Linked DNA regions of Saccharomyces cerevisiae S288C. The main gene of each other region encodes a partner of the protein of the gene in region 2 in a complex. Each region holds a gene or a part of one and is shown on either strand. Other genes may lie near its edges. The genes, in order: SGF73, HFI1, ADA2 and NGG1. A codon is read from its position in the direction of its gene.

What was found.
Region 1: the proteins of HFI1 (region 2) and SGF73 are in contact, whole or in part, in a cryo-EM structure (PDB 6T9I), measured with the Saccharomyces cerevisiae proteins. Residues at the interface, in NP_015069.1 of Saccharomyces cerevisiae: Tyr181 (codon at 2,280), Lys183 (codon at 2,286), Ile184 (codon at 2,289), Ser187 (codon at 2,298), Leu188 (codon at 2,301), Arg195 (codon at 2,322), Met198 (codon at 2,331), Ile199 (codon at 2,334), Lys201 (codon at 2,340), Glu202 (codon at 2,343), Ala203 (codon at 2,346), Arg206 (codon at 2,355), Phe208 (codon at 2,361), Ile209 (codon at 2,364), Phe210 (codon at 2,367), Phe214 (codon at 2,379), Gln215 (codon at 2,382), Ala216 (codon at 2,385), Arg217 (codon at 2,388), Leu218 (codon at 2,391), Asn219 (codon at 2,394), Asn220 (codon at 2,397), Ile221 (codon at 2,400), Pro222 (codon at 2,403), Lys223 (codon at 2,406), Ile224 (codon at 2,409), Pro225 (codon at 2,412), Ile226 (codon at 2,415), Val227 (codon at 2,418), Thr228 (codon at 2,421); in NP_011449.1 of Saccharomyces cerevisiae: Pro354 (codon at 4,892), Glu355 (codon at 4,895), Glu357 (codon at 4,901), Thr358 (codon at 4,904), Thr359 (codon at 4,907), Gln360 (codon at 4,910), Val361 (codon at 4,913), Leu362 (codon at 4,916), Gly364 (codon at 4,922), Val365 (codon at 4,925), Arg367 (codon at 4,931), Ser368 (codon at 4,934), Phe369 (codon at 4,937), Pro370 (codon at 4,940), Leu371 (codon at 4,943), Pro372 (codon at 4,946), Leu373 (codon at 4,949), Ser375 (codon at 4,955), Val377 (codon at 4,961), Leu378 (codon at 4,964), Ser379 (codon at 4,967), Ser380 (codon at 4,970), Val381 (codon at 4,973), Arg382 (codon at 4,976), Tyr383 (codon at 4,979), Arg384 (codon at 4,982), Thr385 (codon at 4,985), Tyr387 (codon at 4,991), Phe388 (codon at 4,994), Arg389 (codon at 4,997).
Region 3: HFI1 (region 2) and ADA2 share a complex: the UniProt entries of both Saccharomyces cerevisiae proteins name them as parts of the ADA/GCN5 complex.
Region 4: HFI1 (region 2) and NGG1 share a complex: the UniProt entries of both Saccharomyces cerevisiae proteins name them as parts of the ADA/GCN5 complex.

What each region holds. Positions count from the first base shown.
Region 1 is NC_001139.9:373,777-381,763, forward strand, and holds SGF73 (deubiquitination module subunit SGF73), read left to right. Parts: upstream 1-3,832; coding exon 3,833-5,806; downstream 5,807-7,987. Other genes in the region: DNA-binding transcription factor AFT1, read left to right, coding at 1-308; DNA-directed RNA polymerase II core subunit RPB9, read right to left, coding at 683-1,051; mitochondrial 54S ribosomal protein bL12m MNP1, read left to right, coding at 1,311-1,895; NPY1 (NAD(+) diphosphatase), read left to right, coding at 2,325-3,479; ALG2 (GDP-Man:Man(1)GlcNAc(2)-PP-dolichol alpha-1,3-mannosyltransferase), read right to left, coding at 5,984-7,495; MRH4 (ATP-dependent RNA helicase), read right to left, coding at 7,747-7,987. UniProt on the Saccharomyces cerevisiae protein: Component of the transcription coactivator SAGA complex. SAGA acts as a general cofactor required for essentially all RNA polymerase II transcription. At the promoters, SAGA is required for transcription pre-initiation complex (PIC) recruitment.
Region 2 is NC_001148.4:67,746-75,179, forward strand, and holds HFI1 (Hfi1p), read left to right. Parts: upstream 1-1,739; coding exon 1,740-3,206; downstream 3,207-7,434. Other genes in the region: BBP1 (Bbp1p), read left to right, coding at 1-1,137; VIK1 (Vik1p), read right to left, coding at 3,318-5,261; YAH1 (adrenodoxin), read right to left, coding at 5,618-6,136; ATG41 (Atg41p), read right to left, coding at 6,564-6,974. UniProt on the Saccharomyces cerevisiae protein: Component of the transcription coactivator SAGA complex. SAGA acts as a general cofactor required for essentially all RNA polymerase II transcription. At the promoters, SAGA is required for transcription pre-initiation complex (PIC) recruitment.
Region 3 is NC_001136.10:1,354,509-1,361,597, forward strand, and holds ADA2 (chromatin-binding transcription regulator ADA2), read left to right. Parts: upstream 1-1,556; coding exon 1,557-2,861; downstream 2,862-7,089. Other genes in the region: ECM11 (Ecm11p), read left to right, coding at 1-125; 40S ribosomal protein eS17 RPS17B, read right to left, coding at 321-728, 1,043-1,045; snoRNA-binding rRNA-processing protein UTP6, read right to left, coding at 3,072-4,394; 40S ribosomal protein uS13 RPS18A, read left to right, coding at 5,415-5,461, 5,897-6,290; YHP1 (Yhp1p), read right to left, coding at 6,612-7,089. UniProt on the Saccharomyces cerevisiae protein: Component of the transcription coactivator SAGA complex. SAGA acts as a general cofactor required for essentially all RNA polymerase II transcription. At the promoters, SAGA is required for transcription pre-initiation complex (PIC) recruitment.
Region 4 is NC_001136.10:809,213-817,544, forward strand, and holds NGG1 (histone acetyltransferase NGG1), read left to right. Parts: upstream 1-5,239; coding exon 5,240-7,348; downstream 7,349-8,332. Other genes in the region: SUP35 (translation termination factor GTPase eRF3), read left to right, coding at 1-1,169; ARG82 (inositol polyphosphate multikinase), read right to left, coding at 1,353-2,420; HMO1 (Hmo1p), read left to right, coding at 2,898-3,638; mitochondrial 37S ribosomal protein mS35 RSM24, read right to left, coding at 3,981-4,940; E2 ubiquitin-conjugating protein UBC1, read left to right, coding at 7,666-8,313. UniProt on the Saccharomyces cerevisiae protein: Component of the transcription coactivator SAGA complex. SAGA acts as a general cofactor required for essentially all RNA polymerase II transcription. At the promoters, SAGA is required for transcription pre-initiation complex (PIC) recruitment.

The DNA.
Region 1 (7,987 bases), on a different chromosome or scaffold from region 2:
TTGTACAAAATGGCCCACACGGTTCTCAACATCCTATAGATTTTCAACATGTTGACCATCGTCATCTCAGCTCTAATGAACCTCAAGTACGATCACATCAATATGGTCCGCAACAGCAGCCACCGCAGCAATTGCAATATCACCAAAATCAGCCCCACGACGGCCATAACCACGAACAGCACCAAACAGTACAAAAGGATATGCAAACGCATGAATCGCTAGAAATAATGGGAAACACATTATTGGAAGAGTTCAAAGACATTAAAATGGTGAACGGCGAGTTGAAGTATGTGAAGCCAGAAGATTAGCATATAGATGAAATCAAACTTAGACGTATCTCTCGTCCATTTTCATTACATTTTCATCTTTCTTCATTAATTATATACTGAACATATACGCATCTATACAATTTTGACTTTTTAAAGAAGAAAAAGAAAACAATAGTATACATTCTTTTTTCTACTTTTGTTACAGATAAAAAATCGTTCTTATTATATTACATATATCGGTGCTAAGATCAGGATTTTTTCATGTTCCTTCCCCCTGTTATTTCACATCATCCTTTTGCCGGTAGATTAGGCTGGTGTAAATAGTAGTGCTTTTCTCATACATACAAGACATACGTGAAGATAAGTCCCATTTTCTCTCCCTCTGTCATTAATTTTGAAAGTTCGTTGAGCACTCATGAAAACTGCGTCCTTTTGTTTTTTTGATCTGAAGTAAATATGTGTGAGCAAGATAAGCACACAAAGAATAAAACCATCGAAGTATCCTTTCTTCTTTGTTGTGATTGAAAAAACACATTTTCCCGAGAGTGACATTTGGGACATTCTCTATCAGATCTCGGAAGAGTGGGATCGGAACCAATATCTTGCACCACTCCCGCAGTTTCACCAATGTTGGTAATCAATTCATGCCTGTAGACCAATGGACTGCCCGCTTCTTCTACATACGAGCATGTTCTGCATTCAAATAACAACCGGTTATTTTCTTTATCCTCACGAGGGTACAACATATTGTTGCAGTCACGACAAAATCTAAACGTAGTCATAGCAGTTTTAAGGGGAGTTTAACTTGCTCTTTTGGCTAGATTTTGTAACTTTCGTTCTACCTAGAATCTGCTCTTGTTCCATTTGACTTACTCTTTAACGCTATTCACCAAAACAAAATTTTTCAACTTACCCGCCCTATGTCTTGAAGTCCAATAAAACAACTCAAACTAATGGCAAACAAGAACTCGGTAAGTTCTGGAAGGAACAGGACAAGCAGCCCGTCAGCAGCAAACACAGTCAATTAAATAAGCGCCCAGTATGTCCTTACGTATACTAGCGAAGAGATCTTCTTCTATCTGGATGAAAACGCGCGTTACACCAGCGCTAATTTCTCCTATTACTATCACAACCCGTTTCAATTCTACGACTACAACAGCACCATCACATAAGGATGATGTAAGGCCAGTTGATCCTAAAATTTCTAAAATTGTACAGGACATTTCACAATTGACTCTTTTGGAAACTTCCAGTTTAATCAACGAGCTGAAAACCGTATTGAACATTCCAGAAATTTCCATGCCTATGGGCGGATTCATGGCAGGCGCTGCAGGCGCAGGTGCTGGTAATGTACCTAGCTCCACTGGTGAAGCTGGTAGTGGTGCTGAAGAAGAAGCTAAGCCTGAGGCAAAGACCGTGTTTACGGTGAAGTTGGACTCGTTCGACACGAAGACTAAGGCTAAAGTCATCAAGGAAGTCAAGGGATTATTGGGGCTTTCATTAGTTGAAGCTAAGAAATTCGTTGAAGCTGCACCAAAGGTCTTGAAAGAAAATGTCGCCAAGGATGATGCTGAAAAGATTAAGAAAACCTTGGAAGACTTAGGAGCTAAGGTCAGTTTAGAATGATTTTAAAACTGTAGCAATCTACCAATCGTGTTAATCAAAATAGTCTGTTTTCTCTTCGAGAAAATAAGGAATATATCATGTAAATATGTTTAACTCTTTATTCTTCTTTCGTCCTGCCTTTTATATATTTTGCCACATCGCTTCTTGCAAGTAGATGTATAAAAATGATTGATTTCCTTATTATTTTCTATAGTATCTTCAACTTCATTATGGCATTCGTTTTCGTGTTATAAGTATTTCAGACGGGCTAATCTATCACTTCATAAATCTACTTTTCCAACTTACAAAAGCGGTTGCTTTTCTTCGAAATATAAAGCCCACCAACCATAAGAATAAAGAACAAGAGCAGGAGCGAAACGAAAGAGAAGATAAAGATTGTACCTTTTTGCTCCTGATTTTTTTTTGATTACGCTACGGTTAGTTGAGAGAATGTCCACTGCTGTGACTTTTTTTGGCCAGCATGTCTTGAACAGAGTTTCGTTCTTAAGATGTTCGAAAGAGTTCATCAAAAAATCATTGAACCATGACTCTACCGTTTTTATCCCATTTATCGAAGGGGAAGCCCTCATTTCGCCCGAAAATGGTGACCTAGTTCAGCTTTCTAATTCTGTAAAGTCTTACAAGAATATTTTGTCAGCAATAGTTCCTTTATACACTACTTTATTGAACACAACTCGCTCAAGAAGCGATGAATCAGGCATCAATGTAACATTTTTAGGTCTCCTGGAAGGCACAGATTCTGCATTTAATTTTGAATGGTCTAATATTTCTTACAAAGGAACACCATATTTTGGATTAGATATCCGTGTTACTGAGAGCACACTCTTCAAGAAAGTCGACTTTGAGCCTATTTTTTCCTATCCGAAGGTGACCAGAGATCACATTTTCAAACAAACAAATGAGGATGCTTCACTTTATTCACAAGGTAAGATGTATCTGGATTGGCTAGCAAAGTACAAATTCTGTCCCGGTTGTGGGTCTCCGTTATTCCCAGTAGAGGCAGGAACTAAGCTTCAGTGTTCTAATGAAAATCGGAATGTATACTGTAATGTGAGAGATGCAAGAATTAATAACGTTTGCTTCCCAAGAACTGATCCAACGGTCATTATAGCCTTGACCAATTCGGATTACTCTAAGTGTTGTCTGGCAAGATCAAAAAAAAGGTACGGTGATTTTGTATTGTATTCAACAATAGCAGGTTTTATGGAGCCATCAGAAACCATAGAGGAGGCTTGTATCAGAGAAATATGGGAGGAAACAGGCATTTCATGCAAAAATATTGATATAGTCCGGTCACAGCCCTGGCCTTACCCTTGCAGTTTGATGATTGGCTGTTTAGGCATAGTTCAATTCAATTCCAAAAATGAGGTTATCAACCTGAATCATGACGACGAATTATTGGATGCTCAATGGTTTGATACAACTGAAATCATTCAAGCTTTGGATAAGTACGCCGGCGGGTATCGTGTTCCATTCAAAAATGATATCAATTTACCTGGAAGTACTACCATTGCCTTCCAATTAATCAATCATGTTTGCGAGAACTATAAAAACTTACGTAAGACCTCATCGAGCCATCTATAGTTTTTAATATAATAAACATTGATAAATAGGCGTGCTTCAGCATATGGATATTTTTCACTCAGTTACCCGAAGAAAACAGAGGTGCGTCATAATGCAAATGCTAAATGAATGAATATAGGATGTTAGATTGCTGGTACAAGCAATTTTGAAACAAAAATCATTACGAACAGAAGAAAGTGGAGCTGAAGAGCGTATATAGTTGTTCATAGCTGTAAAATAATTTCTAAATTACTATTTAGAACCTTTTTGATATCCAGCATCGCTCATTAGAGATTAATTTACCAAAACGGAATAAACCAAAAAAATAAGAATAGTGAACACACAAGAGAAGCGCAAAAGAGTAAAGAGCTAAAATGAGGTCAGGCGATGCAGAGATTAAAGGAATTAAGCCCAAAGTTATTGAGGAATATTCTTTATCTCAGGGAAGTGGTCCTTCCAACGATTCATGGAAAAGTTTAATGTCGTCCGCGAAGGACACTCCTTTGCAGTATGATCACATGAATCGCGAAAGTCTAAAAAAATACTTCAATCCGAATGCACAACTCATTGAAGATCCTTTGGATAAACCGATTCAGTATAGAGTGTGCGAAAAATGTGGGAAACCCTTAGCTTTGACAGCAATTGTAGACCACTTAGAAAACCATTGTGCGGGAGCATCTGGAAAAAGTAGCACAGATCCAAGAGATGAGAGTACTAGGGAAACGATACGAAATGGAGTAGAATCAACTGGGAGAAATAATAACGACGATGACAATAGCAATGATAATAACAATGATGATGATGATGATGACGATAACGACGACAACGAAGATGATGATGACGCTGATGATGACGACGATAATTCCAATGGTGCCAATTACAAGAAGAATGACTCTTCTTTTAACCCTTTGAAAAGATCCACATCTATGGAATCTGCGAACACACCAAATATGGACACGAAAAGATCGAAAACTGGGACTCCTCAAACCTTCAGCTCTTCCATAAAAAAACAAAAGAAAGTCAAACAAAGAAACCCAACTGAAAAGCATTTAATTGATTTCAACAAACAGTGTGGTGTAGAGTTGCCGGAAGGTGGTTACTGTGCACGTTCGCTGACATGTAAGTCCCATTCAATGGGTGCAAAGAGGGCTGTCTCTGGTCGTTCCAAGCCCTACGACGTCTTGCTAGCAGATTATCATAGAGAACATCAAACAAAAATTGGTGCAGCTGCTGAGAAACGTGCTAAGCAACAAGAATTACAAAAATTACAAAAGCAGATACAAAAAGAGCAGAAAAAACATACTCAGCAACAGAAACAAGGTCAAAGGTCTAAGCAAAGAAATGTGAATGGTGGGAAATCAGCCAAAAATGGTGGTAAGAGTACTGTACACAATGGTAACAATATCAATGAGATAGGACACGTTAACCTAACTCCTGAAGAGGAAACAACACAGGTTCTAAATGGGGTATCCCGATCTTTCCCACTGCCACTAGAGTCAACGGTACTATCGTCAGTTAGATACAGGACTAAATATTTTAGAATGAGGGAAATGTTTGCTTCCTCCTTTTCTGTGAAACCAGGATATACATCTCCAGGTTACGGTGCGATCCATTCTCGTGTAGGATGCTTGGATTTGGATAGAACAACAGATTACAAATTTCGTGTTAGGACTCCACAGCCAATTAATCACCTCACAAACCAAAACCTCAATCCGAAACAAATACAAAGACTACAACAACAGAGAGCTCTACAGGCTCAGCTTCTTTCTCAACAACAGCAACAGCAGCAACAGCAGCAGCAACATCACTCACCCCAAGCGCAGGCCCAGGCCAGTACCCAACAACCTACTCAAGGTATGGTGCCCAATCATTTCCCCGGCGGGGCAACGAATTCATCATTTAATGCCAATGTGTCGAGCAAGCAAATTCAGCAGCAGCAGCAGCAGCAGCAGCACAAGTCTCAAGACACAGGTCTCACGCCGCTGGAGATACAATCACAACAACAAAAACTACGACAACAACAACTACAACAACAGAAGTTTGAAGCTGCTGCTTCATATTTAGCCAACGCTACCAAATTAATGCAAGAATCAAATCAAGATAGCCATTTATCTGGCACCCACAACAATAATAGTAGTAAAAACGGTAACAATAACCTCATGACGATGAAAGCCTCCATAAGCTCTCCCAATACTAGCGTAAATAGTATCCAATCTCCCCCTAGTGTCAACAGCGTCAATGGCTCCGGGCAAGGTGTATCTACCGGTATTAATGTCTCTGGCAATAACGGGAGAATTGAAGTAGGTATTGGAAATTCTGTGAACCCCTACAATGGCAGAATAAATTAATTGAATCATGCACGTTATCCAGCATGTTCACGAAGTGAGTAATAAAAAATTATTCGCCGAAGTAACATGTACACGTCTATGTTTGTGGACAAGTTACGCTATTTGCATTTAGAGATTTCTTCTCCAATGTAAATTATTTTTTCTTCGGGGGGTATACATTATTTATTTAAGTAGACATTATATTTCTTCATAAGGGTAGGAGAGAGCGAATACAAATGCCCAGTAAATTCCCCATAAGTAGTTCTTAAAATATAATACCATAAAAGTGGCCATAAATAGGAAGGGCCATGGATTATTGGGTAGAATTTTTATAAATGCCATATGCAAAATAAAATTAGAGAATGAAATACCGAATATTTCCCAAGGATAATACTTTTTTTCTTTCCATATGACTTTCTCGACGTTTTCTTCAAATGACTGAGTCATTGCTTCCCTAGAAAAGTATTTCTTGACTCTTAGCGGGCCATTCCTCTCAAAGTTCACAGAACCGTTCTGCAAGATCTTTCTGCTTTCATCAATTGCAGTAGCCCATTGAATAGGGACGGCAGGTTTTAGCCACCCAGTGGCAGAACTTTCATTTTCACCAGCAACGTAAGATTTGATAGTCTCCAAAGGACCTCCATTGTTTACTGCTAGTACAGGCTTACCTAATTTCATGGCTTCTAAAGGAACAATACCAAAGTGCTCATATGCTGGTGTATACAATAACATTTCGGTTCTTTCGAGCAGTAATTCTTTCAGAGATGATGAAATGGAAGTTAAAAATATAATTTTACTATTATTGGTTTTGAATGACTCTAAATCGGAGACGCGCTTTATTTCTTGGTAGTATATGGTTGTATGGGATAATTCGTATTCATCGGCCAGAGACTGTAGTTCCTTCAAGTACTCCACATTTTCTGCAACCCTCTCGTCATAACCACCGCAAATAACTAACTTAACGTTGTCATTGATTTGATCTTCAGATAACGCAAAAGCCTTTATAGCCAGCGCAACATCCTTTTTTTTCTCAAAACGATTTATACTTAGGTAAAATCTATCGCCTTCGTTAAACACTGTTTTGAAAAATTTCTTGTCAATATCTTCAATTTCGATTGTTGATAAATCCACGCATGGATAAATGACGTCTGGATCATTGGATAAATACTTGAACGTTTGGTGGAACGTATTCTTAGTGAAATTTGAATTTACCACAACAGTATCGGCAGCACTCACGGAAAACTGTTCTATTAAGTCAAATGGTAGTCTGTATATTTTCTTCAATAGCCCAGCTCTTTGAGCCAATAATTGGTCGGGGAAATGACAATAAAACATCAAAGTGGCAGAACTAAAGATATGCAGAAGCGGAATACATGTAGACAGTTGATCAATGATAATTAATTGGTACGCATTCACTTTTTTCTGTAGGATCAATTGAATAACTAAATAAAGCTGTCTAATTGTTGCGAAAACAATAAAAAAACGACCCAAAAAGTTTGTCGGTAAAAAATCACCATAAACTTCGACTTTTAATTGGCCGTTTTTAACTTCTTCGAAACAATGTGATTTATCACAGTGACTAGTATAGATGATTACACTATGTCCTTGTTGCTGTAGACCTAATGCTGCATCGACGACTAACCTTTCAGCGCCCCCAATACCTAGGTCTGGATGAATAAAAGCAATCGTTCTTTTATCCTTTTCAATCATTTTTGCTTGTCTAATCGACTCTTTTTTATCTGTCTTTACTACTGTATCTATTTCGTGACTTCTTAAATGGCGAACGTAATCTTTTGATGTTAAAATGAATACATCATTTATTTTGTTGTTCGCGCGTTCATCTAGCCAGGCACTTGTTTATAAAAAAAGAAGCTATACGCAAGGCTCTCGATCTATAAATTGTATCTGTGATTGTGACCCTTTCGTATATATGTTATAATATTTACAAGAATATACATTTATCATGATAATCTCTGGTGCTTTTTGATGATCTTTGGAAGAGCTTTAGCCCAAGATTTTGTTTTACTGTCAGTTAGCATAAATACGCGGCCGCCCTGTTTCATTCTAGCAGTTCTGCCCACTCGGTGTATCAGGTCTATTGACGTTTTGGGTACATCGTAGAGAACAACATTCCGTACACCTTTGAAATTGAGCCCTCTTGCCATGAGGTCGGTGGTTACGAGTACATGCAAAGACTTGTTA
Region 2 (7,434 bases):
GGCGGAGGGGGCATTTTTGGTCTTTTCAAATGGACTAAGGATGCGCTGTTTGGTACGGACATATCACCTTCAATGAAATATAAAGATCAGGAAGAACGAAGAGACCGATCTAGGTATGCCCAAGACGACACAAATTTTTCTATGAAGTTTGGAAATGACTCCAACAGGAGGAGTACAAACTTATCGAGGTCAAATTCGTGGTCTGGTCTGGATTCAACGCTCCATAGGAAGTACGAGTTACTCCCAGAGTACAACGAGAACGGCTTTAACTCAATTGTTAACGGTGACCACCACAGCAAAGAGAGAATACGATCTTTACGAAGTCCTGCTCCGATAGTACCGAGAGAACCACTTCGTAACGAACCTACGGATACATTTGGTCACAGACTACACACAAAAAGGAGAACTATAAATGAGCTTTCCAATTCGCAGATACCCTTTATACCACCTCAGGAAGACGACCCTTTGCTCTCGAAATTATTTAACAAGGATGGAGTTAATGAGGTTAGAAGATCGCCCTATAAGTTATCGGTTAAAGATATACCAGGCAAATTTCCATCTCCCTTAACAAAACGTGATGAAATAGACAATTACTATGTCCGGGACGAAGATGCTTGCCACAAGAATAGAGAGTATAAAAAGGCATATTTTGATCTTTTTGCACAAATGGACTTGAACAGTAGAGACCTGGAAGATTTGTGTGAGGATGTTAGAGAGCAGCGTGAGCAATTCCACAGGAATGAGCAAACTTATAAGCAAGCATACGAGGAAATGAGAGCAGAACTGGTCAACGAGTTGAAGAAATCTAAGACACTCTTTGAAAATTATTATTCATTAGGTCAGAAGTACAAGAGTTTGAAAAAGGTCCTTGATCAAACGATCAGTCATGAGGCTGAACTGGCCACTTCTAGGGAACGGCTGTATCAGGAGGAGGATTTGAAAAACTTTGAAATACAAACATTGAAGCAAAGACTATCCGATTTAGAGCTGAAATATACCAATTTGCAAATAGAAAAGGACATGCAGCGGGACAATTATGAATCCGAAATACATGATTTATTATTACAGCTTAGCCTTCGTAATAACGAGAGAAAAGATACTTCTGCTGGTTCGAATATTTTTTCAACAGGACAATAGGACAGGACTCCATTCCACAATGGAAATAACAGTTACGACTCTAATTCGCATTCATGGGACACTGATTACTTAAAAAATATAGACGGATTCATAGAACGCTGAAGCAGAAAAGCTGACACGTTTCTCCCACTGTAACATTAAAAATACGTCATGATAGCAATGATAATGTGTTAACTACTTAGGTATGTACATTATATAGATAACGGAATAAAAAAAGATACGTTCTTATTATCATCACTCAACACGAGCTGTAATTCCCGCCCATTTTTTCTTCATTATCAGGTTGCGATTTTGAACAAAAAAAGTGAAACTTGAAGTTACGATGTGACATAAATTTGTTAAAATAAAAAAGATAAAATTCAGGATAGAAGTAGGTGCAACGCGAAATTGTCTCTGTCTACTTGTGCCTTGAACATCGAACTTACAACAGATTAACAAAGTATCGTTGCTCTTTTCATTCGTCTGTTCGTTATCATCATTGGATAGGGCTTACTTTCTCGCACGTGATTTTTCCCACAGTATAAATTTTGAGCTATAAGTGGTAATAAAAATTCAATAAAAATATAGGGAAAACAAGCCCAGTAGTTTTGATTTCTTCTATCATGTCAGCTATACAATCGCCAGCACCTAAACCTCTGCAGCCAACTTATCCAGCTGCTTCGCCAGCTTCCACGAATGCATATATGAAGCCGGGCCTAATTGGTAGTCCTGCCGTCAGTAATCATACCGAGCCTAACAATGGTAACAATGAAACTGCGGAGCCTCAGGGACCAAATCAGAGAATTGATTTGGGTGCCATGATCGAAGAATTAACCTCACTATTGGGAAAAGAAAGCTGGACGAAATATGCTCAGATCATCAGTCTTTTCATTTTAGGGAAGTTATCCAGAAAGGAACTTTCTAATGAATTAGAGCTGGTATTTTCACCAAGCGCTGCAAGCTTAGAAAAATCAAATACAAATCATCACCATAGTTTAGTACGACTTCATAACCAACTTTTATTAGGGATTTTTGCTAATTCATTACGTGAAAACCCTCTTGGGAGAAACGGTAATGAGAGTTCTTGGGGATTTGGCAATGGAAGCAACAATCCAAACAATAAACTAAAAAGAATCAATAAGCATAACTCTCAAATTGAAGTCTATAAAAAAATTGTCATGTCGTTACCTCTAAATGATCGAAATAGACTTAAAATGATCACGAAAGAGGCCGGCAAAAGAGGCTTCATTTTTTGCTCTGTATTTCAAGCCAGATTAAATAATATACCCAAAATTCCCATTGTAACCAATCCAGAAAGTTTGAAGCGTGTCAAGAGCAATAATTTAAAAACGCCGCTGGAATGGTCACAAGATATAATGAATGGATTCAACGTTCCTTTAGCGAGCGAAAGCCATTCTTTACCAGACACGGATTCGTTTTACTTAAGAATGGTTGGTATAGCAAGAGAACATGGGTTAGTCGGCACAGTGGACGCACGTTGCGTAGAGCTTATATCATTGGCCCTAGATCAATATCTAAAAAATATAATAGAGTTTACTATTGATACAGTTCGTTATAGAAGGAAGAAATATTCAGATTATTATGATTTGAATGAGAGTGGGCTTTATAAATCCGTATCAGAAATGGCTGCTGATAAACGCGATGCCAAAATTAAGCAGTTAGATGATGATAAAAATGAGGATGAATGTGCCGATGAAGCCAAAAGTATTAATAACGGCAATAACAGTAGCAAGGACGATATTGGCGACATATCAATGAGCAGCATTACAAAGGCTGGCGAAGCAGTTAATGAGGAGTTACATGAAAACAGAACGATATCATTAACGAATGAAGACATATATGATTCGTTATCTATATTTCCGAATTTGGTTGAACCTTCAGGTTCATACTATGCGTTAACTAATTTAGGGCTAGTTAACGATGATGAACTAGTAGATATGAAGAGCAATATTGACGACTTGCCGGACTTCTTAAATGAAAAGCCGACTTTCACGCCTTTGGATGAAAGAAACGTTGGTACAAGGCATGAATTAAATTGGTTAATTAAAGGAATCTTAACGGAAGATTGATGTATAAAAAGTGTGTGTATGCGGTATGTTGTAATTATATTGAAAGATTATAAACCTTATTTGTTTCATATCTAAATGGCTGTGTTAAGAAAGACGATAATGTGACCGAGCTTAAGTGAGCTTTTTCTTTCTTTTACAAAGTTGTGTTTGAACTTCTTCTGAAATCGTTAATAATTTATTGACATTTTTTGAATCGTTCAAGTTTAGCAAGAAAAAGGATTTAGTATCAGAAATTAGTTTTTTCAGAACAAGTGCAATAGGGGTCTCGCATGATTCCTTCTTAAAGATGCTTTTATCAAACTGTTCAATGGACTTCAGATTATTTAACTCGATAAAATAAAAGTCCACCGGTACGGGGTCATTGTTGCCATCGCTTTTTGAATCTCGAGGAAAAAACTGCACCTTGATTATACCCATCCCAGAATGAGGTAAATTTGGGTGTTCATCACAACTAAAATTTAAGGGCAAATCTTCGAGTCCATTTTCTATGATGACAAGTTTGGAATCCAAAGAAATTGAGTGTTTTTCAAATTTCAACTTTATGCTATCTTTATCATTGTGGGAATAATCCAAGAGCATGTCCTGAGAAAATTCGTCATCTGATAAAAATACAAACTGTAAGGTGATCACATATTGTTTTTGATATATTGTATCCTTTTCGGCCAAAAATTTTATTAGAGACTCTCTCAATGAGCCATGTGGAGTGGTGCTTAGAGATATTAAGTTGAAATTTTTTTTTTGGTTCAGGCACATATCATGGTAAACGCTATACTCTTGAGTGAAAAATTTATCTTCAGAAACTTTTAAATGCGGTATCACCCTATTAAATTTGTAAACATGTTCGCTTAGACCTTGGGTTATTACGCCATTTTCGTAATCAAATAAAAGGTTCTCAGGCAAATTTTGCTCCATCACGTAAGCGTAACAGCGCATCGTGCCTTTTTGTTCAATAATAGAGTTTTCAAGTCTCCTACTCCGCAGGAGTTCTTTTTCCACAGTGTTATAGGTATCATTATAAAATTTTTCCTGTTTAGAGGCCATTTCTTTCAAATTTTCCATTTGGTTTTGTAAATGTTCCAAATCTTGCGAGTTTTGTAAGGATTTGCTTATTAGTGGGTTGTTTGCCAATTCCAATTGTTTTATATTTTCATTTATTTCTGAGATGTTTTGTTCCGAATATTCAGCTTGTCTATCTATATCCATGATCTCCTTGTGTAACTTCTCACTTTCCGATTGTAGAGTGGCTATCTGATCAAGTAATTCACGATGTTTGTTTGTCAAATTTTCCATGGATTTTAACTTAGCTTCTTTGAATGCAATAAAATCCTTCCTCAATTGTGATTCGTGGTTTACTTGTCTTTCCAAGTTTTGCTTCTGTAAATTCGCCCAATTTATGTTGAGCTCTTGCAGCGTTTTCTTCAACTGAGATATTTCCTCTGTGATTTCGTGGTCAGGCTCGACATTTTCCATTATTTGCAGCTCATTTTCCCAAAAGATAAGCTTATTATTGTACAATTCTTGAGATTCCTGCCTTTTCAAGATCAGATTCTGGTCGAGTTCAGCCTGCAAGGTTGCCAAAGCGGATTTGTTCTTCTTAATTAAATCAGCGCGTTCACCGTCCTTGGAGTTCAGATTTTGCGTCAAATCTCTAACCTGTTTGAGATACTTTGCTTGTTTGGATTTTTTCTTATAAAGTTCAAACCTGGACTTATTGAGATCTCGAAACTTGATGGTTTTGATTTCTCTTTCGCACTCAATCAATTGAGTCCTGAGAGTATGTCTTTGGAACCTTATTTTGTCTTGGCGGTCTTTTAAGTCCTTAATTTTGCTCATGTTGATGTTTAATGATGCAGATCGAGATACAGATGGGAAGGAATCCTTTACGGGTGGAAGAGCCAATGAACTCTTCATAGACGAAGGTCTAGAGCCATTCATGGTGTTTGTCGTGTTTGTGATATCCATAAGGTTTCGAGATTTTGATGAGGACACATTATCGGGATTGTGAAAGATTCTATTCTTTGAAAGAAAAGCGTGTTTGTTTTGCTGTGACGCCATAAAGTACACTGGTCAGGAAATGGTGCTTTTGCGAGGAGAATGTGTGTGTATGTGTGTGTTGTTAGGGCATTTCATATTCTATATTCATTGTTTTTTTGTTTTTTTTGTTTTTTCAGTTCTTTGTTTACCTATTTTTTCTTTGCCGCAATTGCAAATATTATTAACTTAATTGCGATTATTGAGACTAAACAATAAAGACCTGGCAGTGGAGGCATGACAGAGGATATCGCGAAACGATTGTTTAAGAGTATATTATAAAGTTGACTTGTTTCCTTATAATTATAATTATAAATATATATATATAGATTATTCACAGGAGAAATTGGGGGCACAAATGAGGGGTAAAAATGCAGACATTAACTAAAATCGTTGTTATTAACGTTTCTTGTCATCTGGGGCAGAGCGACTCTAATCCCATCGATATCTTTTGACATCTTAATCTGGCACCCAAGCCTGCTTGTCTCTGTTAGCCCGTAAGCAAGATCGAGCATATCGTTTTCATCATCTTCAGGTTCCGGCAGGGCATCGTAGTAGTCTGGATCAACGATGACGTGACAGGTGGAGCAGGCACAAGAACCGCCGCATGCGCCCTCCATGTCCAGGTTGTGACCTTGAGCGATGTCCAGGATGGTTTCGCCCTCACAGACTTCGTACGTCTTCTGGGAGCCATCCTTCAGAATAAAAGTTATCTTCAGTTCTTCGCCTGGTTTCGGTTTTTTCAAATGGCCATGGTTTAAGAACGAAGACGTAGAGAAGGGCAGAAATCTTGTGGTTGTGGTGGTGCGTGTGAGCAGAGATGGAGAGGTGCGTAAAAGATGTGCTGCGATGTTCGATATTCTAGCTGTGTGTCCAGCCCGAGTAACAATTTTCAGCATTGGGGGCGGGTTGAGTATAGATACGAGAAGCGCCTATTTCGTATGAGGTTTTTTTTTTCTATTATTATGTATATTAGGCATATATATACATATATATATTTTGCATACATATTCATTTTTAAAAAAATGCAACTGCTACACGCTTTGAAAGATTCAATGAAAAGTTTTTCCGACGACCAGAATTGGCTAGCAAAAAAACGAAAATGTAATGGAGTCATGCAAACATGACTAATAGTAACAAAAAAAAAAGATATAGTAGAATTGAGTAAGTAAGTTCTATGTATATTGTTGTTATTTTCTCTAAAAAAAAAAAAAAACTATGTAAAATTAGGAATTAAGAATATGCTTGGAAGGAATGCCGATTTAAAATGTGTAGGATATGCGATGCAAGGGGTCGTGAGAACAAGTAGAGATGTGGTAAAATGCGTCATACCGATGACAACCACAGTCTGTAGTTCTGTTGTGCGACATTGGCAAAGGCATCGTTACTTGCAAAGGCAAACCCAGAGGCAGAGTTAGATTCCTTACTAGCAGCAGCAACTGCACTGGCGGCGTTGCCGTTAAATTCCATATCGAACATGCAATCGTCTTCAGTACTCGTTATTATGTTGCTGTCCGTCTTATCTTTAGTGTGCGTGCATTCTGACTCATCGACAATCGGGTACGATAGCGGAAAAGTTAGCAATTCTTGCTGGTAAGATTGAGAAAAGTCATCGGCATAAGTCGATCTGTCCGGGCTATGCGAGAGCATAGGGGGCTCGAAAGCAACGTTTGAAAACGAAAGAGGGAAGACCTCGTCTTCATAGCGCGAGATGGGGGAAGATTCCACAGAGGACATTGTAAATAATTGTAATTGTATATTATTGTGTGTAAGTTTGGTTGGTTTGGTGTAGCCAATTTAGTTTGGTTTTCTCAAGAATAAAACAAGTAAGAAAGAAAGAGAGTTGCTCCAGACCCTTTCCGAAATCAAGATGAGTCCTGTTCTTATATATACCTTTTTACGCAGAGCCGCTTCTTTATGCACCGTGGAGTAATTACCGAATTGCAAAACCACCCGGGTGTGGATGTGGATGCAAAATAACAGTGAAATGAGTAATAACAATGGTCATAAACATGTGGTGTGCAATGTGTCATCTTCGCGCGCGTGCTAAAAAAAACGAATAACGGTGGTGATCCCGCGGCTTTCCACACTGACGGGGTCACGTGTGTTTATTCTGTTTTCTTCTAACGGCTTCTGTAGATTTCCGGACGGTTCCACGCAGCGCCACAGCTTGGTTCCAGATCGACGGAAGAGAACG
Region 3 (7,089 bases), on a different chromosome or scaffold from region 2:
AATTTAAGGGTATTATTTCTGTAATCAATGATAGGGCAGATGCCCTAGAAGAACAGGGTCAACAACTAGAAGGAAAAATTAAGAAAGTTAAAACTTTGGCTAATGAAATTCTCAATATTATATAAACGCTTCATAAAGTTGATCAAAGGTGCTATATTCAGTAACAAAATGCTTATAATTAAGAGAATACATCCCTAATAATGAATCATATCTTTCATATTTTAGATGATATTGAAATTATTTAACTATACATAAGGAGAGTCCTCAATGAAATGGAGTAAAACAGACGACATGATAATAACTATATCAATTCATGCTTTTTAGTTTCTCTTTCTGTAACGTCTGTCTCTTTGAGCGGAAACGTTGATGACAGATAATGGCAACTTCAAACCCAAAGATTTAACCAAGTCAGAGGTTTGGTTGTCAACGTTCAAAACACCGTTAGAACGAGACAAGTCCAAAGCAGAGACTTCTGGGACGTATTGATCCTTTCTTTCTCTTTCTTCTTCTTGCAATTTGAAAGAAATACCTCTAACTGGACCCTTTTGGATTCTTTTCATCAAATGAGTAGTGTAACCAGCAATCTTGTTTCTCAATCTCTTGGATTGGATAGTTGCAATTTCATCACAAAGTCTCTTGTTAGTTTGGAAATCCAAGGTCAACTTTGGATAGTAACGTTCAATCAAAGCCTTGGAGGCACGTTTGACGGTCTTGGTTCTAACTCTACCCTATAAAAATAGCAATAATCAAATGAGACAACTTAAGTTAGTAAATACCTCTCTTCAAGACCATTGGATAAGATAGAATGTGCCATTCGAAAGCAATTGGTTATTTGGTGATCTTTTAAATATCTACTACTTCATTGAGCGCTCTTCTAAACTAATCAGTAATGGAGTTTTCTAATCTGCTCATAAATAAGAATGCCCTGCTGGTCCCCTCGTTCCCATAACGCTTTCAATCTCTCTGCAAACCTTGCCCTCATTTCATGTGTTCAGCGCCCAGTCCATCATATCCGGCTTCATCAACATCTCGTGGTACGTACCATTTTTATCTGCTTTTTTCTTTATCTATTTATTCTTCTCTAGGTTATACAACGCAAAATAAATAATTAATATGTAAAATATCTGTTTACTTGAAATTTACCCTTAACAGAGGTACTAACGGGAGGAAGGACTGGCCTTGCTCCGGTAGACCTCGATGCCTGAACCTTCTCCCTCATCTCGAAACGGTACGACCTCTGAGAAAACGATATCAATCAATGCGCGTCTTCCAGATGAAATTCTTCGGAATGCCCATAATACGAAAAACTAACGATGGAAAAAATACTATAAATGTATGGGTGTAATTTTAACCGAATGTATGGATGTTACAGGGAGCTTTATATATGTAGAAAATTCCAGACGTTCCAAACAAATAAGTGAAAATCAACACGATTGGGAAAGTACATGCCAGAGTTCGATGTTTAGGTTAATGATAAAAATAATTTTTCTCTAATCACCCTCCATTTTCGATAAAATATCAGCGTAGTCTGAAAATATATACATTAAGCAAAAAGAATGTCAAACAAGTTTCACTGTGACGTTTGTTCAGCTGATTGCACGAACAGAGTGAGGGTTTCATGTGCTATTTGTCCCGAATACGACTTATGCGTGCCCTGCTTTTCACAAGGCTCGTATACAGGAAAGCATCGCCCTTACCATGATTATAGGATAATAGAGACCAATTCATACCCCATTCTCTGTCCTGATTGGGGTGCCGATGAAGAATTGCAGTTGATTAAAGGCGCACAGACTTTAGGGCTCGGTAATTGGCAGGATATTGCTGACCATATAGGCAGCAGAGGCAAAGAAGAAGTTAAGGAACATTACCTAAAATATTATCTGGAAAGCAAATACTATCCAATACCTGATATTACCCAAAATATACATGTCCCACAAGATGAATTTTTGGAACAGCGAAGGCATAGAATCGAGTCCTTCCGGGAGAGGCCGCTAGAGCCTCCAAGAAAGCCCATGGCATCGGTTCCTAGCTGCCATGAAGTACAGGGGTTTATGCCGGGCAGATTAGAATTTGAAACAGAATTCGAAAATGAAGCTGAAGGTCCCGTAAAGGATATGGTTTTTGAACCTGATGACCAGCCCTTAGACATTGAATTGAAGTTTGCCATCTTGGACATTTACAATTCTAGATTGACAACCAGAGCAGAAAAGAAAAGGCTATTATTTGAAAACCATTTAATGGATTACAGAAAGTTGCAAGCTATTGACAAAAAGAGGAGCAAAGAAGCCAAAGAATTGTATAACCGCATAAAACCTTTTGCTCGTGTTATGACTGCACAGGATTTTGAGGAATTTAGCAAGGATATATTAGAAGAATTGCATTGCAGGGCAAGAATACAGCAATTACAAGAATGGAGAAGCAATGGGTTAACCACGTTAGAAGCAGGTCTTAAGTATGAACGAGATAAGCAAGCTAGAATTAGCAGTTTCGAGAAATTTGGCGCTTCTACGGCGGCGTCACTCAGTGAGGGCAATAGCCGTTATAGGTCGAATTCTGCACATAGGTCGAACGCAGAATACAGCCAAAACTACAGCGAAAATGGCGGTAGAAAGAAAAATATGACCATTAGCGATATACAGCATGCACCTGACTATGCACTGTTGTCCAACGACGAGCAGCAACTTTGTATTCAACTGAAAATTTTACCTAAACCGTATCTCGTTCTAAAAGAGGTAATGTTCAGAGAACTGTTGAAGACTGGGGGTAATCTAAGCAAAAGCGCATGTAGGGAACTACTTAATATAGACCCCATAAAAGCGAATAGAATATACGATTTTTTCCAGAGCCAGAATTGGATGTAACAAAAAAAAAATTGAAAAGTAACTACAATTGTCACTAGTTATTATTGGCCAAGTCATAAAGGGACCTTGTCTCGATTTTATATACCGTATATCGGTTCTTTCCAATTTTTTTTTTTTTTTTTTTTTTTTTTTTTTTTTTTGGTTGTAATATTAAAAGAATAAACATTTATCTGATATGTAATTGCATTTATAAAATGTACAGTACCGCATTTAAAGTTTGCTGATAATTAAATCTAGAATTTTATACCTAGGATCATCTTCTGCATTCATCTTTTTCAAATAATTGTCTTGTAAATATGAACGATACTCATTTTTCAATGACTTCACCGATGCGCTATCCAATTTCGATATATATGCAAAATACTTCTTAACAGACAATTGTAATTGATCAATATCGAGTTTCTCAACTGGCATATATCTGATATTTAGAGTGATGTCAATCATTACTGTTTTCAAATACAATTCTGGTAGATCCTTACGGAGCGAAAGGTCATACATGTCATTTTTCCAAAACTGCAACACGTGATTGATAAGATAGTCTCTTTCCAAGTCTAAAAATTCATCAAATAGTTTAATATACCTTAGTGACTCACTGAATAGGTAATTCAAGGTCTCCTTATTTAGTTCAATATTCATTTTGGAATCTGAGATGGCATAGTAACCCTTATGCTTATTAATATAATGCTTGCCCAAAGTCTTCATACACACATCGAAAATAGTTAATGCAATGTCACCGCGTAATGCTGGGTTGGTCTCTGCATTACCTAGTACGCTGATGTCTGCCTCTGGTAACTCGTTTAATTTATCTTTCATTGAATCACCAGTGGATGGAACTTGTAAATGAGATTTTTCTTCGTCGGGGGCTTGGTTATTCTTTTGTTCATTTTGCATGTCGAGCTCCTGCTCTCTTTCATTGATTAAACCCATCACTTTTCTTCTGTTAATCAACTTAGTGATGAAATTCAGCTCGAATTTTACATATTCATACCATAGCTTAGGCACATCAGGGTTAAACCTCAACCCATTCTGAAAAATATTTCTACAACTCTTGAAGTTAGCATGAACTTCATATTCGTATTTCGCACAACTAATCCAAATGTCCACATTCGTTGGGTGCAACTTTAGAAGCTGATTATAAATGTTGTGAATTTTTTTGTATGATGTTTGGTTACCTCTCGCTTTCATGTAGTTCAAATACATTGCCCAAAACTTTAAATCTTGTGGAAATTTGTTCGTTCCTCTTTGATAAATAAAACCTATTCTTTGTTGAATAGACCAATCAGATAGACTGTTCGTCTTTTTAACCTGTAAGATTCTCTTACACCGCTTGGCACGTAATTTATTGACGTTACTTTCATAGTTAATGTATTTTATATAGTCATTTATGCTAGACCCTCTGGAATTTAATCTATGCTCAAAATCAGTTCTTTTCTTCATAATTAATGAAACTTCATTTTTAGTGAATAGTCCTTTCTCCACCAAGTCATCCATTTCAGGAATACATTGTTCCAAATAGTATCTTGTCTTCGACATTATTAGAAATCGGTGATGTGTGTATCTCTGGTCAATTTCACAATGTTATGCCCTTAGATATGTGTTTATTCACGTTCACTGTGTGTTCCTGATATTTAGCTCATCGCCCAGATCTTTCTAAAAAATTTTCAAGAGAATACCCGGATGAAAAAGCGTGTTCGGATTCCCATCACTTAATGAAGCTTATATCTGACAGCGCAGGAAAAGCACAAAATAGAACCTAGCCACTTCGCGTAAAAGCTCATAATGTTAACGATATAGTAATATTTTGACGCATCGAACTTTATCACCCGCAGCATAAAGTACTGATACTACAAGTTTTTTTCGTTATTCTTACCGGTATTGCGCTAAAGCAGTTTTGCACCTGAAAACAAGTAAAAATAGGACTTGAAAAAATTAAATAGCATACATGTATAATATAATCTTGATCACGGCAAGTGTTTCAATAGAGATGTGGTTATAATTTGTCACTTGTGCAGTCAATACCTTAAATTAACTTTTACAAAGTATTTTTTTTAAACGGCCCATGAGCATAAATTGAGAACGATATTATTAATTCTAGTATATTTTAGGAACAGCAGGCCATTATATCCAAAACTTTTTTAAAATAGCATCCACATCACTTACTGGCGTACAGTTTCGTGTCTGGCAACAAAAAAGTACATTTAATTTCAATGATTAAAAAGACATTAAACATCCGTACATTACGCACCCATGCATGCTATCTGAAAATATTCTACATGCTGCTTTTAGAAATTTGAAGCGGCATATGGTGTTTCCTTGCGGAGACGCGCGCTCAGGGGAACTGCGATTCCGAAAGATGCCTTTCCCAGTCCCATATGCCCATCCCAAGATCATGCCCGGGAGAGCAAATGTCGCCCCAGCCAGGTCGGACACATCTGTCATTCGACCACTAAGTATTGTCAAAGCTAGGGTTAATTGAAGATAGCTCTACATGTTATTAGTAGAGTTTTTAAACGTTGAGATACTAGTGAACGTATACACAAGAGCGGATAAAAGATGTCTTTAGTTGTCCAAGAACAAGGTTCCTTCCAACACATTTTACGGTATGTTTATTATTACTAGTGAGCTATGACAAAATCGGCTAAAAACTTAAAAATATGACAGACAAGAAAGGAAATTCATTCACCTCTTTAATCGTGGCGATTATTCGCTAACGACGTGATTAAATATAATAATGATGTTCCCGGGCTGGACTAAGAACGTAATAATAAGGCTGATGAACAAATTTATGGTTTATGCATCAAAAAGGAACATGAATTTGGCATAAGCGCACATAATTACGGAACATTGCAATAGCGGTCGGAGGTAAAGTACCGGGAATGCTTTACAATGAATCAGCTATTGGCGGATATTGACCAACCAACACTAAAATTTTATATCCTGCTCCGATTTTTGTCTTGGCCGTGAAATCCATTATGCACATTTTTTACTAACGTTTATCAATAAGTTCGGTTTCCCGTCTAAATTTTTTTACGCAGTTTGTTGAACACTAACGTTGACGGTAACATTAAGATCGTTTACGCTTTGACCACTATCAAGGGTGTTGGTCGTCGTTACTCCAACTTGGTCTGTAAGAAGGCTGATGTTGATTTACACAAGAGAGCTGGTGAATTGACCCAAGAAGAATTGGAAAGAATTGTTCAAATTATGCAAAACCCAACTCACTACAAAATCCCAGCTTGGTTCTTGAACCGTCAAAATGACATCACTGATGGTAAGGACTACCACACTTTGGCTAACAACGTCGAATCCAAATTGAGAGATGACTTGGAAAGATTAAAGAAAATCAGAGCTCATCGTGGTATCAGACACTTCTGGGGTTTGCGTGTTAGAGGTCAACACACCAAGACCACTGGTAGAAGAAGAGCTTAAACTGATAAGATTATTCAAGCTTAATCTTTTTTGTACGAGTACATATATTTCCATAGCACTTCCTAATTGACTTTTTTTTAAAATAAATAAAGAAAAGAAAATTAATTTTGTGACCATAATTTCAACTTGCCTTTTTTTTGTACAGGGTTTCAGGGATAAATGGACCCTTGAAAGAATATAATATTACATCTCTATATAGATTTATGAAACAGGCCGCTTTAAATCTAAAAAAAAACGTTGGTGTAGTCTCAGTCATTACTTTGTGTAGTTTTTGTTAATATTGATAGCATCAGTGCTCAAGAAAATAAACACTGAGAAAGATTAGTTTTTGAAAGAATTGAGATCGACCTCCCCAAGGGGTTTTCTTTCGTATGCATTGAACTTTAGGCGGTTTTCCTTGCCTTTAGGACTTTTGATAATCTCGCTATGACCGGTATTTGATAATGTTCTCTTAACAAGCACAGATTTCCTGTGGAACTTGAGCTGTCCGCCGGGCTTGCAAGGCGTTATGTGGTGGTCTTCGAAGATCGAGGACGTATTGGCAGGTGAAGTTTTCAGCAACTCTGCAGTAATAGCCTCCTTCGTACTCGTTGGCGTAGAGGTAATTTCCAACGCAGCGTCTGAGTAAGATATCATAGACATCGAATCATTAGAGTGAACTTTGCAATGGCTGGTGTTGCCACTGTTCTTGTGCTTTTTAGCAGCCTGCCTTTTGTTCTGAAACCATATTTGAACCGATTTTTCGGACATATTACATTGCTCGGATAACTCTATCCTTTTAGCCTTATTGGGCGTGGGA
Region 4 (8,332 bases), on a different chromosome or scaffold from region 2:
GAGAAGCCAAGGATGCAGGCAGACAAGGTTGGTACTTGTCATGGGTCATGGATACCAACAAAGAAGAAAGAAATGATGGTAAGACTATCGAAGTTGGTAAGGCCTACTTTGAAACTGAAAAAAGGCGTTATACCATATTGGATGCTCCTGGTCATAAAATGTACGTTTCCGAGATGATCGGTGGTGCTTCTCAAGCTGATGTTGGTGTTTTGGTCATTTCCGCCAGAAAGGGTGAGTACGAAACCGGTTTTGAGAGAGGTGGTCAAACTCGTGAACACGCCCTATTGGCCAAGACCCAAGGTGTTAATAAGATGGTTGTCGTCGTAAATAAGATGGATGACCCAACCGTTAACTGGTCTAAGGAACGTTACGACCAATGTGTGAGTAATGTCAGCAATTTCTTGAGAGCAATTGGTTACAACATTAAGACAGACGTTGTATTTATGCCAGTATCCGGCTACAGTGGTGCAAATTTGAAAGATCACGTAGATCCAAAAGAATGCCCATGGTACACCGGCCCAACTCTGTTAGAATATCTGGATACAATGAACCACGTCGACCGTCACATCAATGCTCCATTCATGTTGCCTATTGCCGCTAAGATGAAGGATCTAGGTACCATCGTTGAAGGTAAAATTGAATCCGGTCATATCAAAAAGGGTCAATCCACCCTACTGATGCCTAACAAAACCGCTGTGGAAATTCAAAATATTTACAACGAAACTGAAAATGAAGTTGATATGGCTATGTGTGGTGAGCAAGTTAAACTAAGAATCAAAGGTGTTGAAGAAGAAGACATTTCACCAGGTTTTGTACTAACATCGCCAAAGAACCCTATCAAGAGTGTTACCAAGTTTGTAGCTCAAATTGCTATTGTAGAATTAAAATCTATCATAGCAGCCGGTTTTTCATGTGTTATGCATGTTCATACAGCAATTGAAGAGGTACATATTGTTAAGTTATTGCACAAATTAGAAAAGGGTACCAACCGTAAGTCAAAGAAACCACCTGCTTTTGCTAAGAAGGGTATGAAGGTCATCGCTGTTTTAGAAACTGAAGCTCCAGTTTGTGTGGAAACTTACCAAGATTACCCTCAATTAGGTAGATTCACTTTGAGAGATCAAGGTACCACAATAGCAATTGGTAAAATTGTTAAAATTGCCGAGTAAATTTCTTGCAAACATAAGTAAATGCAAACACAATAATACCGATCATAAAGCATTTTCTTCTATATTAAAAAACAAGGTTTAATAAAGCTGTTATATATATATATATATATATAGACGTATAATTAGTTTAGTTCTTTTTGTACCATATACCATAAACAAGGTAAACTTCACCTCTCAATATATCTAGAATTTCATAAAAATATCTAGCAAGGTTTCAACTCCTTCAATCACGTTTTCATCATAACCCTTCCCCGGCGTTATTTCAGAATGTGCAAAATCTATTAGTGACATGGAACTCAAAGAACCAGTTGTTTTTTTGTCCTTTGGTCCTTCGCTGCTTCCCTCGGCATCATCATCATCATCATCATCATTATCATCATCGTCGTCATCATCGTCTATAAAATCATCTCGCATAAGTTTGTCAACATCATTTAGTAATTCCCATCGCTCCGGGTCTCCTTCGTAAATAAACAAAAGACTACTTGATATCATTCTAACTTCTTCTTCTAGCATAGTATTATAAAACAACTGCAATCTTTTCAAAAATGTTTTCTTCAGTTGATGCTTTCTCGCATCCGACAGATGAGGATTGTTAAAATAAAGTTCAATTGCATCTGAAACATTTTGATCGGTTCTTGAACGACCATACAATTTGTTTATAAAGATATAATCACTGTCTGCTTCTTCTTCGTAATATTCGAGCGAAAGCTGATTCAGCACAGAGGGATTTTTCTGTATTTTCATGCCACATATCCTGAAACCCAAAGATCCTGAAGTCGTCGTCTCACTGACTCTTTTCATTCTCTCTCTTTTTTCCAATGATGCCTTCGAATCATACAAAGTTTTGCCTAATTTTATATCAAGTATATTAGGTTTACTAAATCCATATAGTAGATTTTCTAAAACGAGGTATTGCTTGGACTTCTCAGACTTTACAGGTATTGAATCAAGATTATCAGTGGAATCACTTAACCGCTCATCTATCTTCAGAAGCGCAGCATCGCCACTTTGCTCGATTTTTGCCCCTTCATTCAAGACTCCAAGATACGTGGGCATCCAAGAGCACAAGGGAGCATCTCCATCAGCCGAAGACTTTCTTCGACTCACATCTCTCACTTGTATGGCTTTGTAGAATTCCAGTTCCTGCGGAAAGGCCGGTTTAAAGATGAGCAATCCATCACCGTCTGTTAGAGTACCGTCGTGGCCAGCAGCTTTATGCTCTAAAACCCTATAATTGTTTACCGTATCCATGTGAAAAAAATTTCTACTTAGGCACACGTATGCACATATCCATGTAAGCTACTAATGGAAATTGTTTAACTGATTACTGGTAAAAAAGGGATCTCCAATGGCTTTATCTTATTCCATTTTGTCCCACCATTTGTATACAGTATAAAGACATTTTGGTGAGATACTTAGTTACCCAGCCTACTTCTGAGAAATATTACCCGACTCGATTATCTACCAATTGGCTTCGAGAACGTGGTTTTTCACCATTTTTTTTCCCGCTTTTTTTTTTCATCCGACCGTTGTGGCGGAGAGAAGCTTCCGGAAGGGAATTCACTCAGATTCTCTCCAGTACCACGGGGGGCAACTCTGCCTGGAACACTCTCTTCCTTCAAGAACTTAGCAAGAAGTACCAATTAGTCCCAGCGGGCCCTCAGGGCTGGTCTACTGCCTTATACTCTAGGATGTACATCCTACCACACACAACAAGCCTGTCACACCATGACTACAGATCCTTCTGTCAAATTGAAGTCCGCCAAAGACTCCCTCGTCTCCTCCCTCTTCGAGTTATCAAAAGCTGCTAATCAGACAGCCTCCTCTATTGTTGATTTCTACAATGCCATCGGCGACGATGAAGAAGAGAAGATAGAGGCTTTCACCACTTTGACTGAGTCTTTGCAAACATTGACTTCTGGTGTAAACCACTTGCACGGCATCAGCTCGGAGCTGGTTAACCCTATTGATGATGATAAAGATGCTATTATCGCTGCTCCAGTCAAGGCTGTAAGAAGAAAGATCGAACGTGATCCAAATGCTCCAAAGAAGCCACTGACTGTTTTCTTTGCTTACTCTGCGTACGTTCGTCAAGAACTTCGTGAAGACAGACAAAAGGCTGGCTTGCCACCTTTATCCTCAACTGAGATTACTCAAGAAATCTCCAAGAAATGGAAGGAATTGAGTGATAACGAAAAAGAAAAATGGAAGCAGGCTTACAACGTCGAGTTGGAGAATTACCAAAGAGAGAAATCCAAATACTTAGAAGCAAAGAAAAACGGTACCCTACCACCAGCTTCCTTGGAAAACGGTCCAACTCATGCGCCGGTTCCAATTCCTTTCAGTTTACAGCACGCCGCTGAACCTCCTGTGGAAAAGAGACCTCACGATGATGATGGATCTTCGGAAAAGAAGAAGAAGAAGAAGAAGAAGGATAAGAAGAAGGACAAATCCAACTCTTCTATTTGATGGACGGACAAACTCGTTACTATTACTCTACTGTCTTTCTAAAATAAATATAATAATAAAAAAAGGAATAAAATATAGCAGCATGGGCTTGCTTTGCCCATAGTGTATGCACATATATATATATATATATGTATCTATCCCTCTCCTCTTGTAACAGTATATCTTCCTTTTCATTTTCGTTGTGTATATGTATGTATATAGTTCTAAATTTGCGATTATACCTTTTCAAACCTCTCAATGTTGTATTGTGCTAAAACTATGTACATTTTAGAGAAAAAGAAGGAAGCAAAACAAATACATAATATATACAGGGGGGCCGTTCTTTTTGTTTTTGAACATGTATTAAAGAGTGCTCAATAATTGATCTACAATATCAAATTTCTTCTTTGGTGCATCTTCAGGGCGTTTCCAGTGTTCAGGAAACTCATAATCCCGCTTCTTTTTACGTAAACTCTTAGCTATAGTATGCCTTGTGTCAAGGGGAACATCGCTAAAATCGTCCTCCGTCAAATCTTTTGACTCCGCTAACAGCCTTTGAAGAATATCATGCAAATAACGTGCATTTTGTGATGCATGCTCAAATTTGTCACTAGACATTTTAAAAATATCTGTAGTATGATCATAACGCGACCTGGCTAATATTCTGAACTTATGTAATGATTTTTCCTCCAGGCCCAATTCCTTGGTTTTAACGCTTAATACAACCTTCCTCGAATTGGGATGCTCTTCGCCAACATAACTAGTGTATCTATAAGTGACCGGATGACTTTCTGGAGATGGTCTCTTGTATTCCTGGCGATATTGAGCTAATAGCGGTAACTCATATGCGGCTAATCGATTATAGAACCTTTGTTCACGATGTTGGGCAACCAATTCCTGAGCTTGCGATGGCAATTCATCAAACATAAACGGTCTAAGACTGTTATCGCGATTCACGTTTCCACCTTTTATATCAATAGCGCCTTGTTCTCCTCTGTGATATAGCTTTTTAATATCGTTAACAGGTACATTTGAGTACTCAGAAGTGGTTAATAAGGCATTCAGTTCGTCTTTGTTAGGTTTATACTCTGAACCCAATCTAGCCATTCTCTCCCAATATAACTCTAAAATTCTTTGAGGAGGTAAACCCTTCCATTTTTCGGGATGCATATAGAGATCTGCTGAAAAAGCTGGTCCTTCTCTCACAGTTTTAGCTTCATTACCAGCATCACTGTTCAAACATCTAGACATTGTCAAAACCCTTTTCTGGGTGCTCCACAAATTACCCCGAGAGACTTTCCATAACCCCAATGGTACTTTCATCTTCCTAAGAATAGTATTTTAGTAGTGTCAAATGTTTCGGTAACTCTACTGCCTTGTTCACAGATCGAAATATACTCAGAATCAGTTACAGAAAAGGTCCCATTTAGCGTAATTTCTTAGCGGAACTCATTAAAGAGCTCCGACGTGCAACGCGATAAAGGTTCGCCGACGACAACAAAACAATGGCAGGCAGTCATTAAATGAACGCCATCAAATGAAATATTCGTGGTAGCGATTACAATAAGGAAGTTGGAAAAACATAACAAAGACGGAGCGACGAGAAGTATTGGACAGGACATATGCCTAGACATGGAAGAAGAGGAAAACTGCCAAAAGGCGAGAAACTTCCTAAAAAGGAGGGAGGCGACAATACTCCGTCAAAGCTTTTATCGTCAATGCTTAAAACTTTAGATTTGACCTTCGAGCGTGATATTGGAATGCTCAATGGCAAAAGTGTTAGGTCCATACCCAATAAAAAAACTTTACTTGAATTGCAAAGTCAATTGGATAGTCTCAATGAAATACTGGGTACAATTGCCCGAGGTGATCAAGAGACCATTGAAGCGCTTCGGAAAATAAGAGACAGTAAAAATGAGAAGCAAGCAAACGATGAAAAGCAGGAAACTTCAAATGCAGACGGGCAGCACGAAAGTTCTACTGCTACTGAAGAAACGAATATAATTGATAAAGGGGTACAAAGCCCACCAAAACCTCCTCCTTCTAATGAAATCTCCGGCACAATTGAGAACGATGTAGAAAGCATCAAACAAGCGGCTGATAATATGGCTAAAGAAGAAATTAATGAAGACAAAGATTTACAAGTTCATAGAGATCAACCCAGAGAAAAGAGGCCGTTCGATTCTGAAACTGAAAATAGGGCCACTGAAAATGAAAACACACAGAGGCCAGACAATAAGAAGCAAAAAATTGACGTTGACAAAATGGAAAACGATCCAACTGTTAAAAATCCAAAATCAGAATTTGTAGTATCGCAAACGTTACCTCGAGCAGCAGCAGCACTCGGCTTATTCAATGAAGAGGGACTAGAAAGTACAGGAGAAGACTTCCTAAAAAAAAAATACAATGTAGCTAGTTATCCAACAAATGATTTGAAAGATCTGTTACCAGGTGAATTACCGGATATGGACTTTTCGCATCCTAAACCAACCAACCAAATTCAATTCAATACCTTTCTAGCATTTGTGGAAAATTTTTTCAAAGATCTTAGTGATGACAACTTAAAGTTTTTGAAGATGAAATATATTATACCCGATAGCTTGCAATTTGACAAAACTTATGACCCTGAGGTAAACCCGTTTATTATACCGAAACTAGGCCCTTTATACACAGATGTTTGGTTCAAAGATGAAAACGACAAAAATTCTGCCTATAAAAAACCTTCACCATATTCAAACGATGCATCTACTATACTACCAAAAAAAAGTGCCAACGAACTTGATGATAATGCTTTGGAATCGGGCAGTATATCGTGTGGGCCCTTATTATCTAGGCTGTTGAGTGCTGTATTAAAAGATGACAATGACAAATCAGAATTGCAATCTTCTAAAATAATACGGGATGGCGGACTACCGAGAACCGGAGGGGAAGACGATATACAATCGTTTAGAAACAACAACAATGATACTGTAGACATGACATTATCTCAGGAGAACGGGCCCAGTGTTCAAACACCTGACAATGACATTGATGAGGAAGCATCTTTCCAAGCAAAACTGGCAGAAAATAAAGGCAGTAATGGCGGTACTACAAGTACGTTACCCCAACAAATTGGGTGGATAACAAATGGAATTAACCTGGACTATCCAACATTCGAAGAACGATTGAAAAGAGAACTAAAGTATGTAGGGATATACATGAATTTGCCTAAGGATGAGAACAACCCTAACTCAGATGACCCCGATTGGGTCACCGGTAGAGAAGACGACGAAATAAGCGCAGAGTTAAGAGAATTGCAAGGCACTTTAAAACAAGTGACCAAGAAAAACCAAAAGAGGAAAGCCCAATTGATTCCACTAGTGGAAAGACAACTAGCATGGCAGGAATACTCATCTATTTTAGAAGATTTAGACAAACAAATCGACCAGGCTTATGTCAAACGTATTCGCGTACCCAAGAAAAGAAAGAAGCATCATACAGCAGCTTCAAATAATGTGAACACAGGAACCACGTCTCAAATAGCACAACAAAAGGCTGCAAACTCAAGTTTAAAATCCCTTCTGGATAAAAGGCAAAGGTGGATTAATAAGATTGGTCCATTGTTTGATAAACCTGAAATTATGAAGAGAATCCCCAATGAAAGCGTATTCAAGGACATGGACCAAGAAGAAGATGAGGATGAAGCCGATGTATTTGCACAAAACACTAATAAGGACGTGGAACTAAATTAAAATATACGAACTCTAAGGAAAAATACGTAGCATAATAACGCATATAACTAACAATTTGGATAACTATCCATAAAAAAAAAAAAATAGTCACATAATACGAACATTAATATCCTTTTTTGTTACATTTTCTTCCATCTGAAATATTTGGAGGGGCAAAAACAATGAGATGACAGTTGAATGCATGAACTTCCGATCGCGGGCGTATAGGTAAAGTCAATTGAAGCAAGTGTGACGACATAAGTATCGTAATTTAGTGGTTGGATACATTAAAAAAAACAAGTGGTATATATATAAGTAGTAGTAGTAAGAAGTAAGCGATGTCTAGGGCTAAGAGAATTATGAAAGAAATCCAAGCTGTGAAGGATGATCCTGCAGCTCACATTACTCTTGAATTTGTGAGTGAATCTGATATCCACCATTTAAAAGGCACATTTTTGGGCCCACCTGGAACACCTTACGAGGGTGGCAAATTTGTCGTGGATATCGAAGTACCTATGGAGTATCCATTCAAACCACCAAAGATGCAGTTCGACACAAAAGTATACCATCCAAATATATCATCAGTGACAGGTGCCATTTGTTTAGATATTCTTAAGAATGCATGGTCGCCAGTGATAACACTAAAGTCTGCATTGATTTCGCTACAGGCGCTACTACAATCTCCAGAGCCTAACGATCCTCAAGATGCAGAAGTAGCACAACACTATTTACGGGATAGAGAATCTTTTAATAAGACTGCTGCACTATGGACGAGGTTATACGCCAGTGAAACTTCCAATGGTCAAAAAGGCAATGTAGAGGAGTCTGATTTATATGGGATTGACCACGATCTGATTGACGAGTTTGAATCTCAAGGTTTTGAAAAGGACAAGATTGTGGAAGTGTTGAGACGATTAGGCGTCAAGTCCTTAGACCCCAATGACAACAACACAGCCAACCGTATCATCGAGGAATTGTTGAAGTGAATAGATAAAAAAAAAACGC